2 linked regions of the Oreochromis niloticus genome follow. The protein of the gene in region 2 purifies or fractionates together with the protein of the main gene of each other region. This does not show direct contact. Links are inferred from orthologs where the notes say so. Each region holds a gene or a part of one and is shown on either strand. Other genes may lie near its edges.

Region 1 (7,625 bases), on a different chromosome or scaffold from region 2:
GACACATGATACAAATGCAGCTAGAACTGTGACGATCAGATGATATAAATTTATGACCTGATGTTTCTAGAAAATCATTCCTTTGAAGTTGAGAAGGTGATGTGAAAAACAGGCGAAAGTATGTAGGTATGCAACCACCTTCTTAATATGCAAGTACTCTGTTGTGGATATCTGATGTACCCTTCATGACCATGAGGGTTTCTGTTTATTTTCCCATTGCTTTGTTGCATCATAGCCCTGACTGGGTTCAGCTGTTGCCCCCTGCTGGCAGTTATTCTAAATCATTTAGGAAACTTTTTTAAAATACTGAACTCACTTAAACGTGCTGACAGAATATGTTGCCTTAGTTTCTAGTTTCAACAGAGCCAAAGTTATATATTAGATAAAGAATTTGTGGAAGTATAATTAATCTGAAAAGTTTTTTAACAGGTCAATGTGATGCACGAGAAGTCAGCTGGTGTTTTTAACATTTTTTGGTTACCTCTAAGGGCCTCCATGACATGAAGAATATTCTCCGACCACTGATAAGCAGCAATGGCTGTGTAGATCCCTGGAAAGTCTCTCTGCCAAATACGCTGGCCCACTGCCCAAATAGCTGCTAATTCAGGATTTGCCTGCAGGAAACAAGTGAGAAGCATTTCAAACACAATCAGAATGCAACACTTGACCAGGCAGTGGTTTTAATGCTACTGTGAAGAGCATTCACACCCCAATATATATGTAAGACTGTTGGATCATAATGGTTCCATCATCCTTAAATTGTCTTTTCTTGGACTCTGCAAGAAGTCATGACTTGATTGGCAGTACCATAATTCCATTTATTTCATAGTGCTCTTGGTTGTCTTAGCAGGTCCAAAAAGTTTTCCAGTGGGGCAAATTGATCTGCCAGGACTTAAGATCATTTTGTCACACAAGTAAAAATTCCAATTACATGTGTTCTTAGTTACTTACATGTACAGTTGAGCAACTTTTCTATAAACATGAAACTGGTTGTGTCGGGGTGGTAAAAAATGTTTGCCCTTAATATTAAATATGGTGCAGGCACCACAATGGCAAAAAGCTGATGAAAAACACAGACCATACATTTCTAACTTCTAAGCTGGAGCTGGAATACAATTCCTTATTATCAGATTGTTCTGAAAGCTCCCTGAAAAGCCTCCAAAGCAAACAGAGACTAGAAAAAGAAATCTTTATTCCATATTAGCCTCTCTCCATTGGCTCCTTGTACCATCCCTTTGTCATGCTATGATAAATCTGGCTGCTCAGTCATTAAAGGACTTCTCCACTCCACAAGTTTGTCTTTTCTCATTAAATTAACCAGTCACATGACATTAACAAAATGCTATTCAAATTGAGCATTCGAATGAGGAAGAAAGGTAACACAAGACACTTTGAACGTGACATGGTTGGAGATGTCAGATGGGCTGGTCTGAGTATTTAGGAAACTTCTGATCTGCTGGGATTTTTCCCCACATCTCTAGGATTTACACTGAATTTTCAGAAAAAAGGAAAATATCAAATGAGTGCCACTTCTTGTTGATGACAGAGTTTAGAGGAGAATGGTCACACTGATTTGAGCTGATAGGAAGGCAAATCCAATGGCCTCCACAGTCACCATATCTTAAGCAAGTACAGCGTTTTAGTTGCAGAACAGGAGATTTGTCATCGATAAACACCCAACAAATCTGCACTGTGTGATGACCTCATGTCAACATTGACCAAAACCTCTAAAACCACTAAGAAATTTTTCCAGCACCTTGTTGAATTTATGGCACGAAGAATTAAGGCAGCTCTGAAGACAAAAGAGGGTCCATACAGTACTAGCAAAGTGTACCTTACAAAGTGTCTAGTAACTGTATACATGACAGTATGAGTAGGTTTAAAAAATGTAATAAAACCAACATTGGATTTTAAAGTAAACAGCATTTACTGTTCACATTTACATGCTCAAATGTTATTTCTTTAGCAGTGTTTACACATGTTTTAACAAGCTTACCGATTTTATTGCTTGGGGAATCCTCTTCCATAGATACCTGGCATTATTCCTGTTAGGAAAACACACATTCATAATACAGATACAGGCACAGGCAGCAAAAAGGGGCTCATCAACTAAATTGAGTTCAGCTGCCTGCAATCTGAGACAAAAATATACATTTAAATGTATTTTTTAACATAAATACATAGACATCAGATATCAGTGACTTACATGTCATTATTAAGTAAATAGAGCGCCAGCAGCTGAGCGTAGACCTGAGGTGTTGCAATGCCCCCTGGAGCCTGTTACAAAGAAATGCAGGTGTGCGATTAAACATTGGAGCTAAAACAAGCGGAAAACTGAACAAATGTTACTTCTCAGAGAAAACAGGTTATTATTATTGTCTTATTATTGTCATAATAAAAAAAAAATAGTCGCTGATGTTCACCCAGCCAACAGCAAGCGTCCAGTTAATAGTTTTAGCTCCTGCTAACATTACAGTAGTGGTCTCGCTCACTTATTCTTATACTATAAACTGTCAGTCCGAAAGCTGCATGCAGGCAGGCAGATAGACAGACAGACTGTCAACACAGGTAAGACTTAAAGGTTCTTAAATCAAACACATAACCTGCAGATATGTTCCAATTTAACGGAGAGATTATGACCGCTAACTTCCTACTATCTGCTGGCAGGTAAAGGCAAAGATCAAGCAAAGAGCAGTCCAACATGAACACGCTGCTACAGCCTATATCTCATTTTTAACGTGAGAATGTTTCGCCTACGAGTTAACGTGTTTGATAAGTTGATTTCCCAGAGCTTTAAGGTAGGCTACACACAGGCTAGGTTTTGTAGCCAGTACGCTAGCCTAAAATCTGTAGAAACCGCACCGTTCCCATCATGCTTTCAAAGCCACAAAGTCTCTGAGACCTTCCTGTTCATATTTAAGATCACAAAGTCCTTACCTCGAGCTCTTGGGCTTCACACTGCTCTAATAATTTATCAAAATTTTCCTCCATAATCACAGCAGTAGGCATGATGATGCCTAGCTGTTGCACCGGAAACTTCTGCTTCTTCTTCTTCTTTGGTGTCTTAGCCGTATTATTACGAGTCCGACGTCGGGTGTGTGCTCACTGGCGTCCTCGGCTGGCTGTAAGGCAAACTGCAGTGAAATACAACTGAACCAAAATAGTAACATAAATAAAGCATAGATAAATAAACTCCAAACAAAAGAGAGAACATATAAGAAGAAAAATAATTTTAATAGAAAAGTCAAAAGGAAGTCTGCATTCACAAATCAAAGAAATCTAAACCCTAAATCCAGAGAGCATCCTGAGGGTATACAATTTTGCTGATATACTTTGGATGTGAAAGGTCACTCCTAATAATTAAAAGTTCTTTTAATTGATCAAATTTGTTTTGTTATGACACAAGTTGTCTCTTCTAGTCTGACAATGACCCTTACACAGTGCATGAGAATGGGTCATAGAATGGTTTGATGTCTATGTGAATCACATGCTATGGCCTCACATTTTTTTCCAAATGGAGATCCTGGACACTGCTGGAGGAGACTCAGAGCTGTGGGATTCTGAAAAAATGACAACTAGCATTTTTTTTTTCACTAAAAAACAAATATTTGCCATTGGTGACGAGCAAAAACCTGTCAGTGCAACAAATTTCACCCTAAAGCTGCCCTAATACATTTTCCCCCAAAGCTGTATGACAAACATGTCTGAGTTACACAGAGGAAGACTGGAGTCAATGCAATCAAACTGTTTATCAGAGGGATATGTGTGATTTTTAGAACACTGGAGCCTAACATTAGTAGCCATAATGTTAGCTTACAACCAGGTGTTGTTTTGCTGGCTTGTTGTCACTTGTGCAGAGACAGGAGCGTTGTGTGTGTAATCTTGTAACAGTAAGTAATAAGCTAATATCAGGAATAAATAAGCACATTTATGCACTTTTTGTGTGGTCAAAAGATTAAGAGGAAAACACTTTAAAAATAATCGAGAAAACTCCTACAGTGTTCATCAAACACATAACTATACTAAGATTTTTGTGGACAATGAAAGAAAGATGATGACAGCTTTTTACTAGATTTTGAAAATGTGATACTTGCAAATGAGCTTAAATATATTATAAATGGGAAAAATCTTACAAGCTATGTACAACAAATGAGCCAGCTAATCTGAGACGAAGGTCTGACTCGTTGTTAAAGATATTTGCAGTAACTATTGTTTCTTTAAGTAAATTTAGAGTTTAATGAGTTTTATTCATATAAAAGTTCTTGTCATTATTATTAAATGCTGTGGTTCGGCAACGTTAAGATATACGTGCAAGTTTAGATTTATTGGTACTTCTACCAGGGAAACTATCACTCTTTAAAACACTCCCAGTGCTGAGAGATACTTTTTTTCTCTTAATTCACTAATGATCTTCCCGCCAGTGGTGGGCATTCCTCTATTTTAATTCCTTTTGATCTTTTCTTTGCCTTTGATGGTGGTGACTACACATACCTTTTTATCCCATCCACCTCTAAAAAATTAGCTTGGCAACTGAGACACAGCTCTCATGTGTTTTCTTTATTTTGACAGATATTCTACTGTTGATATAGAAAATTTATCATTCTCCAAACTTCTGACTTTTTTATCTGCATTGAGGGTGGTATTTTGCAATCTTAAGGAACACTAAATGTGTAAAAACAAACAAAAAACACCCCTCAGACATCTTTTTCACACTTTAATTACAACATTTTTGAATTACTTAAAAAATCTAGTTGTACTGACAAATCTGAGATTTTTAAAACTCTTTTTTAATGTCACAACCTCCAAAATATTTGTTTTTATCATTGCTGAACACAACATGCACTAATCAATTTATCAGCTTCACAAGCTCTTTTTAATCTCTATGGAAATAATAGAAATCTTGTAAAACAACGCATATGGACCAATTTCCATTTCATGTTCCACAGAATTGTTCCAGGGGGTTTTATGGAGAGTATGCGAGATTACTTAGTTAGACGGTCTGGGGAGGATGTGTGGAATGGGGACACTGATCTGTTTTGCACTAGCAAACAAACTCATGGGCAGGCAGCTGAGTAGAGTTGGTGTGGTCAGCAACAGGCATGACAGCTGAAGAGCAGAAATACGGGATTCCACTCACAGGCAGATTTTCAGCTGCCCGACCCAACCCTGACACGAGAGGGAGTGGAAAATCAAAACAGCAAACAGATTATCACATTTCTAGGAATCTTTTTGTTGATTTAACTTCATGGAAGGCATATCAGATATCTGGCATTGTCCCTGATTGTCAGGAGGTATCCCAGATGTGCTTCAGGTAGACTTAAAGAGCTACTGGAGGTATACAGGGTAGAAATATGACTACGATGCGATCTTGTAATGTGAAAGCAGTTTGATATACCCTTGAAATTGAGTTTTAGAAGAGCTGGAACTTATTTATTGCTTTCCAGGAATTGATGTTAAGTTAGACATTTAATTTGTGTCTTACATTGATTCTCATTCTCCTGCTTACCTGTTTACCAACTTTGAACTTGCTTTTACATCTATGCTTTGCTCTCTTAAAATTCCTTTAATGCACACAAATTTAAAAAAAAATCTATTTGTGTCTGAATTACCTTCTGTAACTTTCTGAAATCTTCATTGGCAAGAATGAAAAGTCTCATCTAATGTTCTGCTAATTTCACCATGAGATAAGACTGGACCTTCCTATTACATTACAGTCACAGTACTACAGTTCTCAGCAGCCACTTATTATAAACCTAGAAGACTGTTTTCAGATGTGCTACCTTGACCCTCCTGTCACATCCTCAATAAATGAATAAAGTATATAGGGACCATAATCCCTGTTATGGTGTAGGCCAAAGGAAAGGATCAAAGAAATGCAAAGCAGCGGTGTTAATAGTTTAATAATGCTGAAAGAGAATCCCATAAACACATGAATGAATCACATTCCACCACATAAAGGACATCAGAACAGCTTCTTTCTCTGAAGTGTGGATAACATAGAATAGAATATAAAGAATAATAATAAAAACAGATTTTATTTACTTAGCTTCTCCTCTCTAAATGTATCTCAGTGTTCAGCTCTGAGAAGAAATCCCCATGTGCCGGATCAGTGGAATTCATGAGGACTTTTGATGTTCCTAATTTTTTATATTCGTGAAAGATTCAGCTCCAGACATTATTGAGACTCTCTGACTCAATCAAATGTTGACATGGGGAAAACATTTTAAAAAACTCATCTTAAGAGCCTCATAAACTGTCAGGTCTTGCAGATTGAGGACCCAAATGCAGGCTCTAAAAGGCAGGCGGAAATAACACAAAACGACCTTTTATTTCAAGTTGAGGAAAAACAGCACGTAAATGGTGAAAACACAGACAACAATAGTGAACACAACAAAATAATTAATACGTAGAACTGGAAAAATATAAAGACCATAAGTTAAAAAAGAAATCAAAACCCTGAGGGATAATTAGACTCAGTAATAATAACAGAAATTGTCCTGATAAATTAAAGTCAAAATGTAGACAATAAACCAAGTACAAAACAAAAAAGCCAAACAAAAAAAGACCCTGAAGGCAGAAGAATTCCCAAGGAGTCCTACGACGAAAATCCAGGACCATGAGATAAACACCCTATTATAAAAATAACTCTGTGATTTCTGTAAGAGAAAACACTGTTAATGATGTGATGTTGTATGGCTTTAGTTCCACAACTAAGAGCTGCTAGGCTTCTATAAATAACTGAGAAAATGGGTCTTTGATCTCTGAATTGTAAGAGTTTAATGACACTGAACGCATGACTGTCTTTGGGCAGAAGGATGCACTGAGAGGAATTGTTGGGTTGCTTATTTTCACTTAACAAAAATGAATGCAGGTGTCTCATGTTCTCCAAATCTTACCTTATTGTGTCCTTTTTAACAAGATTAGATATTAGAAGAATATTAGAAGATGGGAATACATTTTTACTAATACTAATTTTTAATATTAGTTATGCTCAGCTTGAATCAGAAGGAAAAGAAGGAAGCTTAAAAAAAATCTATATTTTCTGTTGTCTACATTGTAGAGGGTGACTTTACCTCTGAAGGGGAAAAGGGGAGTAGGGAGGAGGTTAAAGTGGGATTCAGCAGGTGGGGAACCCTAACATCAGTTGTAGCCACTCAGTGTGGGGAAAAGTGGGTCACAATAGGTGAATTTTCTTAGTGTACAGCATGTGATCAGCTGATATGGATATGCACTGAGGTTCACTGCTCTTTGTGGATGTAGACAATTTTGTTGTACGCAATCCAACAACATGTACGTAGATGTTTCAGTCAGTGTAGGGGATGGAGAACCGTTTATACTAACTTTATACTAGATTGTATAAAGTTGGTATGAATCATGTAAACATCATCAGCTTAATTTCAGATTCATCTCTGCTAAACTTGATTGTAACCTAACTCGCACCACAGTCACTGTACACCAGTCACACACTGTTCTATTGTGTGTGACTGGTGTTCTGTTCTGTTTAAAACCATCACAGTACAGCAAACTGACCTGTTTATTTTGTGCTAACCTGCAGAGTATTTTCATGTAGTCTTTAAATAAAATAGTCTACCCTAGTTAACAGGTCCAAACAGAAAGATCTGGGT
Region 2 (7,347 bases):
CAGGATTCACTGCACTGTTAATGTTAGCTATGTTATATTGCTGCCTCTGTTCGGTGGTGTCGAGCCAAACGGACTTTAACGTGTGTTTGAACGAGCTGACGGTTCACTCGTTAAGCTGAAAGAAAGATGCTTTAATCACAGGAGTCACACGTGTCCACTGGACCATCTGGGAACTCTTCTTGTTTAGCACTCGTAATAACACAAACACTTAATTTCTCCTTCTCTTGTGCTGTTTTGTAGCAGTGTGTACACCTGAGACTGTCACCTGCCTGTCTGTCCTGCACTCTCTCTCTTTTTCTTTCTCTCTGATTTTGCAATAAAAGTATGAACATGTATTTATAAGTTACACTTGTGTTTGAATCCTGCAGCTTATCACACATTTGATTTCCATGTGTGACAACTGCAAGTGTCCAGAGAGAGGACAGACTGAGGGACCCACTGCTGCACATCATCTGTGAGGCTTTGCACCCCTGATGATCCACCAGGACAAACTCAGCAGTGTGTGAGGAAGAGGAGGAGGAAGAGCCAGCAGCAGCTGACAGATGGAGAGAATAGACAGACTGTTCCCTGTTTGTGAAGGACTGCTAGAAAAGTTTAAAATAACTAATTGTCTGTCCTGAATCAGTCTTAGTAGGTAATGTTCAAATAATTTTATCATTCCAGTGTTTTCAGTGTGGGAGAAAGTACTCAGGGCCTTCAAGTTAAACACGATGAAAGGCAGAAACAAGTTTAATATTCAGAAACCTAAAGTATGTATCAGCAGCAGAATGGAGCTAAAAATAAATGTTTGTTTCAGTTCTATGAAGCTTTGAGTATTTTGGATTAGTAGTACTGCTGTGTTTGTTGCATCATATTGCTGTCATTGTTTATATGCTTTATATATTCTGAGGTAAGTTGATCTATAGTGTTACATGATATTCTATAAGGATGTTATGTGTTTGTATACTTTTTGCCCAGTTTGACCCATTTAGCAGAAGTCAGCCTGTTTAAGGCTCTAAGTCAGGGGTCCCCAATCTCAGTCCACGAGGGCCGGTGTCCCTGCAGGTTTTAGATGTGTCCTTGATCCATCACAGCTGATTTAAATGGATAAATTACCTCCTCAACATGTCTTGAAGTTCTCCAGAGGCCTGGTAATGAGCTAATCATGTGATTCAGGTGTGTTGACCCAGGGTGAGATCTAAAACCTGCAGGGACACTGGCCCTCGTGGACTGAGATTGGGGACCCCTGCTCTAAGTCATACAGAATAGATATCAAAGCAGTTATGACATGGTCTGATTTTCTCACCCAATAAAGGAATATTTTATATATCAGTCTACTCTTCATTTTATCAGAAACAGTTATCACAGCTCGTACATTTTCTTTTTATACATATATGTAAGCACTGAGCCAAATTTAGTAATGCCAACATACTGAAAGAACAATATTTGTCTCTTATATATAATACATCTATATATAACCTGTCAAAGATGCTTGTCTTTGAGTGAAGATTTAAGGTGATAGGAAATATAAATAACTGCAACTCGAATCTTTACTGAAGCTCAGTATTTGACACAGTTCAAACTCACTGCTGTAATAACTAATAATGATTAATATAATAACTATAATATTGGCCATATTATATTTACATTACCAAAGTGAGATGACTTTAGTCTCATGAACAACATAAGCTAATTGTTATTTACTAGCTAATCTTAAAATGACTGTTCAGTACAGATATGAGTGCCAACAATCATGTTTTACAATCCTGTGGTCTCAGCCTCAGATACATATCAAATCACACAAAGCTCATGTAGAAACAAATGAACAAAATATGTTCTCCTTCATTTCTGTCAAACAATGCTGTATGAAACTTTTCCAGCGGATAGTATCATGGTCGTTAAGGCTGCGTACTTTAAGGCTGCAGACCCTGAATTGGGATACAGCCATAGACACACCTAGTGGTGTGGAACAAAAAAAACTAAAAAAAAATGGTGGTCTTCAAGGCATTTGTAGCTATGAGAGGTGATAGCAAAAGTCACAACACACTGCGAAGTGTGCCCCCACCTGTCCAACATCACTACATCTCATGTAAAATTACACAGACAAGCATCAGGGCAAAACAGGCCCAGTCCTGGCACTCTATCAATGGAGGGAAAAAACAAACATGGAATAATTTGTTTTTAACAGTTGTAGAGTTTTATGACACAGGAGTAAGCTACGAAATTTCCAACGATGCAAACAATATTTATGACTGGATTCAGTTATTGTTGGTTTCAGTCTTTATGCAGCTTTTCCTGACAATAACAGAAACACACAATCTCTCTACCTTTAATCAATAACTACTCCTAACTTATCTGATTTCTTACCTCTTTGTATTCTCCATTGCGGTTTGTTTTGAAGCCCTCCGGGGTGTGCATCTGGATGGTGGTACTGCTGATCACCTCAATGCAGCATTCCTCATCCTCAGCACCCAGGGGTCGCACACGGCAGTATACCTGAAGAACAAAATGACACACATTAAAACAAGCTCTAACCATACATTTTGAGCTTGTTACTACTGCAAAGATATTTAATTTGTCCAAGAATATCTGATAAACGATTTAAAAAAAACAACAAAAAAAAAAAAACAACACCAAACAGACTTTGACATTCTTGGATGCAGTAGGATTATTGCTACCATTTGTTTCAGCTTATTGCCACTTGGTGAAACTTCTAAAGATACTTTTCTTAAGAAACTGAGCAGTCTTGTTATTCACAGACAGGGTCTTTAAACTGTTGCTTTTATTTTTTTTAAGAAAAAAAAAAAAGGGGGAATTTTGGTTGGCCCAAAAAACTGAGGCGAGATAGCAATCGAAACTTTTATTACTTCTTCTTTCTGTTACTCACTTTAGGGATCACCACAGCAGATCATCTACCTCCATCTCACCCTGTCATCACCCAGCATCAACTATGTCACACCTCACATCTTCTGCATGTCTTCATTCATTTCATCCATGGATCTTCTCCTTGCCTCCAAACAGCTCAACCTGAGCTGTCAGTCTGATGTACTCATTTCTATTCTTGGCCATTCTGGTCACTCTCAATGAAAATCTTAACATCTATAACTCTGCCAAGTGCCAACTCCAGCACTGCCTCCCATATTTTTTGTCAGTGCCAATGTCTCCAAACCATACATTATAGCAGTAAAACCTGCTATCTTCAAGTTTAAAACCTCAGTTAGATGGCAGTCAGGTGGCACGCCTCTCAATAAAACTCTTCCAGATCAAAAAGTCTAAATCTGTTGCCTTTGAGGAAGAAAACTGATGGCTGTAGAGCGAAACTGTGGGCTCACAGTCAGGTTGACGAGAAAGTGTCCAGAAGAATTTTCACTCTGTCAGTAAATTACTCCACTCTAGGTTCAAACACTCCCTCACTGGAATGTTTTCTCTTCCACCCACTGGAATGTATGAGATTCACATTTGTACTGTTTGCCGAGTTGACCTTTAAGAATTCAGGGACACTCACCCCAACTGGGTCCGTCTGGTTGCTGGAGGGTTTTTTTGGAGGAGGCCTGCGGGGGGTTTTACCCTTCCTGTAAAAGTAAATAAATACAAAGTCATTCACAATTCAAACAGAAGCGTAAGCGTTAGCCATTAATGACTATGTGATGGCTTAACAAAGCCACTTGCTAGACGGCTAATTAGCCCCCTGCTAACGGTAAAGCAGAGAGTCAACGTCCGCTCGTAACTCCTTAAACTTAAGTTCGCCATTTTGTGATAGTGTAAAACGCATAAACAATACAGCCTACCAGCGACATATAGAACATAAACATGTACTTACAGATGTCTCGTCATCGTAGCGTGGTGCCCGTGCTGGTTTCACCGTTTCTGTTTATCTAGTTTTGAATCTTCCCTCCGCCTCAAAGCCTCAAATCAGCGACTTTTTCAAAACGGACCCGAAGCAACCAATGGGATCTGGCAACGGCAAGCACGTGTTTCCGCCTTTACTTCCGAGCCTCTTACGCCTCAAAAAAAAAAAAAAAAAAAAAAAAGTTGGCAAATGCAGTAAAATATAATATACAAACTTGTTTCAGCCACTTTCATTCTTCATCTTCATAAATAGTCCTTGATGTCTGCTACCAGAGAAATGTAAATCCTTTCTTTGTTTTACACAATTCTTAAATACTTTATGAAAATTATTTAGTTTAATAATTTAACATGACATTGACATAACGTGACATTTTTTATTTATTTATCGCAATCTTCTGTGAGCATTTCGTTGCCGTTACCTTACTTTGCAGTTTGAGTTGTTTGAACTCCAAACATGGTGCACATTGAGTTTTCATGGTGGATCTACAGTGCCACCCACCGTTCACCAGCTTTAACAGACACAAGTTACAAAACAGACATTTTTCAGCACATAGTCACGTGTACTGTCGTGTTATGCAAACAGAGACGTTCTTGCTGTTAAACTGCAGCGTTAAAGCACTGAACATCGCAGGTAAGCAGCAATATGAACATTAGAGGTGCAGACAGGTGCACAATCGTCCGCTTTGTGACGAGTAACTGTTGCTTTGTGTGTGTGTTTACAAGGAAGAAATGAAAAGCAAGCCCACGAAGTCAGCCGCAGCTGGATCAAAGAATAAAGTGAAGAAAACACCTGAGGGGGTCTCCAGTCCAACTCTCTCCAGAAAACTACGAGACAAAAAAAATGGCGAAACGTCAAAATCAGGTATGAGGCTCTGAAAACACCGTCAGTCCAGTGACAGCACTGTCTTTGTGACACTTGAATGGGTTCGTGTGTCTTCTAGGGACTGCTCTCAAGTCTGCAGGAGTTCAGAAGAGAGGTTGGGACGGAAGCATACTGCACTATATCTACAAAAGCACTCTGGGCCAGAGTTTGCACTCACAGATGAGACAGGTAAGAGAGCCTAATGTGGTGCTGGCCCCAGTGCTGCCCAAAATACTCACACACTGTTCCAATAGTAATTAAAAAAAAAAAAAAAAAAAAAATCTAATCCAGGGACATGTGTAAGTTCACAAGTCATAGTCCATCTGTTACCTCTCGTTTCCTCTTACTGGATTTATTCAGTGCAGGTGTGAATCTAGCTCTTTTGTCTCCTCAGTGTCTCCAGGAACCTTTCGTTCGCTCTCTGTCATCCTATCATTTCCACGGTGGCAGCAGCCCCTTCGACCGCAGGATCACCTGTCTTGAGTGGCATCCGACACATCCTACTACTCTGGCTGTGGGGTCCAAGGGTGGAGACATTTATCTGTGGGACTTTGAGGCGCCTGCCAAGAAGACCTTTATTCAAGGGGTGAGTTCCTGTTTAATGGTTTTGATTTGTTCTTTCGATTGATCAAAAAGACATTCGGCAAACTGATTTTAACAGAGGTCAGATGCTTCTTCAGGCTGTGGTGAATTTCAGAGCGGTGCGATGTAGTTGTACTTAATGAAACACTGTTGTTGGCTCTCTGGTTAGATGGGGGCTGGAGACTCAGTGACAGACATGAAGTTTAACCACTTAAATCCCACTCAGCTGTTCACCTCATCTATGGGGGGTACGACAGCACTTCGGGATTTCAGTGGGACAACGCTAACAGTGTTTGCCAGCACAGAAACACTGAAGTAAGACTGGAGTGTCCACTTTTTTTTCTTCTGTGCACTAAAATAAAAAAGCGTTAGGGGTTAGTCTAGCATCAGTCTTCTTACAGAGAGTTCAGAGATCTCTCAAGGGAACTTGTTGGGTGCTGGTGTGAACATCTGTGTGGTAGTTGTAGTCATAACTGCTGCCTGGTGAAAGGCCTACATTTGTATTTGTGTGTGTAGAACGGAGCAGGAGACTTTATCGGAGGGATGAAGTTTTGCCCCACGGACCTTTCTAGAGTCTATGTGGCCTCTGGCGAGGGCACACTGACCGCACAGAGTTTTGAGGGCCGCGCACCCACCGTTTTGTCCAGAACTCAAGACTGCGGCCACGATCACCACAATGTTTGGTGAGAAACTCCCAAAGAAGACTGATGCTCGGCATTATGAAAAATGGAAAGTTTTTTCATTTCCCTCTACTGTGTCTGTAGGACTCCTGCTGCCACATTGTTTTAATAGCATTAAAAAGGTTTCGTATTTCTATTCCTATTTTATGAAATAAAATTTGTCAGGGCTATAATACAAAAAATGAATGCTATTTGAAATCTAGTAGGACACTGGAGGGCGCATCCTCGACCAAGGCCCATAACAGGCCATCTAATAGAAGGTGATCCAGATCTTCACCAGTATTTCAGTGTGTTCTTCCTTTGCCCATGTTCCCGTCTTAGAGCGCACACCTCCACCTTTCTTCTTCCCTTTAAAAGACTAGGACCAAAGAGAAGAGACACCATGCTCCAAATTTAACTACTGTCACGATTGTGGAAAAATGGTTCTACATTACTTCAGTAGAGACTGCTTCTACAATCTGTAGATTCAGGTGAAGAGTAACTGGGTCATGTCCTGCAAAAACCATTCTCTTTAATTCATTAAAAAAAATAAATGAAGTTTAATTCATCTCCATAGTTTCCAGTGTCAGACTCAATCCCTTTGTAGGCAGATTTCAAAAAGCATGACTATCTGCATGGGTAGACATCAGTAGAGGTAAATGAGAAAACACAGGTAGCTGAGAGCATTGTGCGTATATAATGTTATCTCTTGTTCAAGTGTCACATAGTATATTACATCCTATTTTGAATTAAAGCTATGATTTATGGAATACATTATTTTGTATGTTCTTATATGTAGCTCTTTTCTTTCATAGTTTTTGGTACTGCTGCGTTGACGTGTCTGTAAGCCGGCAGATGCTCGTGACAGGAGACAATGCGGGGCAGCTTTTACTTCTGGGTTTGGATGGCCAAAAGGTGTGTGCCTCTTTCTTAATGAGGACTTCCACTGTTTTTTTTATAAATTAAAGGATCAGTTATAGTTCTTATTTAACACAGAGCACTTTTTCTTTCGGCCCTTCCCTTTAGGGGTCGCCCAAGCCAATCATCTGCTTCCATACCACTCCTATTGTGCAAGTCTTCCTTTGCTACATCCAAAACCTCCTCTGTGGCAATTTAATGTTAATTGATTTGCTCTGTTTTAATGTTTCAGATTTTCAGTGACAAATTGCACAAAGCCAAAGTGACCCACGCAGAGTTCAACTCCCGATGCGACTGGTTGCTGGTGACGGCCTCAGTTGACCACACAGTAAAGCTCTGGGACTTGAGGAACATCAAGGACAAGAAAAGCTTCCTCTACGAAATGCCTCACGAGAAAGCCGTCAACTCAGGTAGCACTTCCTCATAGAAAAACCTCTCATGCTTACTACTTTAAAAAAAAAGAAAAAAAAAAAGAAACAATCAGTTTTCTAATTGTCT

What was found. Proteins that work in one complex are often made in the same cells at the same time.
Region 1: the proteins of ddb2 (region 2) and cops8 purify together in Homo sapiens (affinity purification with mass spectrometry; 6 studies listed by BioGRID and IntAct, counting the BioPlex papers as one, with this or other methods). This does not show direct contact. The link is inferred for Oreochromis niloticus from reciprocal best matches to the Homo sapiens genes DDB2 and COPS8.

What each region holds. Positions count from the first base shown.
Region 1 is NC_031987.2:7,710,794-7,718,418, forward strand, and holds the start of cops8 (COP9 signalosome complex subunit 8), read right to left. Parts: upstream 3,090-7,625; 5' UTR 3,010-3,089; coding exon 2,938-3,009; intron 2,278-2,937; coding exon 2,207-2,277; intron 2,046-2,206; coding exon 1,997-2,045; intron 615-1,996; coding exon 482-614; intron 1-481. UniProt on the Homo sapiens protein: Component of the COP9 signalosome complex (CSN), a complex involved in various cellular and developmental processes.
Region 2 is NC_031972.2:51,231,760-51,239,106, reverse strand, and holds the start of ddb2 (DNA damage-binding protein 2), read left to right. Parts: upstream 1-4,299; 5' UTR 4,300-4,302; coding exon 4,303-4,459; intron 4,460-4,551; exon of another isoform or gene 4,552-4,555; coding exon 4,556-4,690; intron 4,691-4,769; coding exon 4,770-4,879; intron 4,880-5,084; coding exon 5,085-5,276; intron 5,277-5,441; coding exon of another isoform or gene 5,442-5,587; intron 5,588-5,788; coding exon 5,789-5,955; intron 5,956-6,746; coding exon 6,747-6,846; intron 6,847-7,081; coding exon 7,082-7,259; intron 7,260-7,347. Other genes in the region: kinesin-like protein KIF23, read right to left, coding at 2,347-2,475, 3,485-3,551, 3,800-3,813.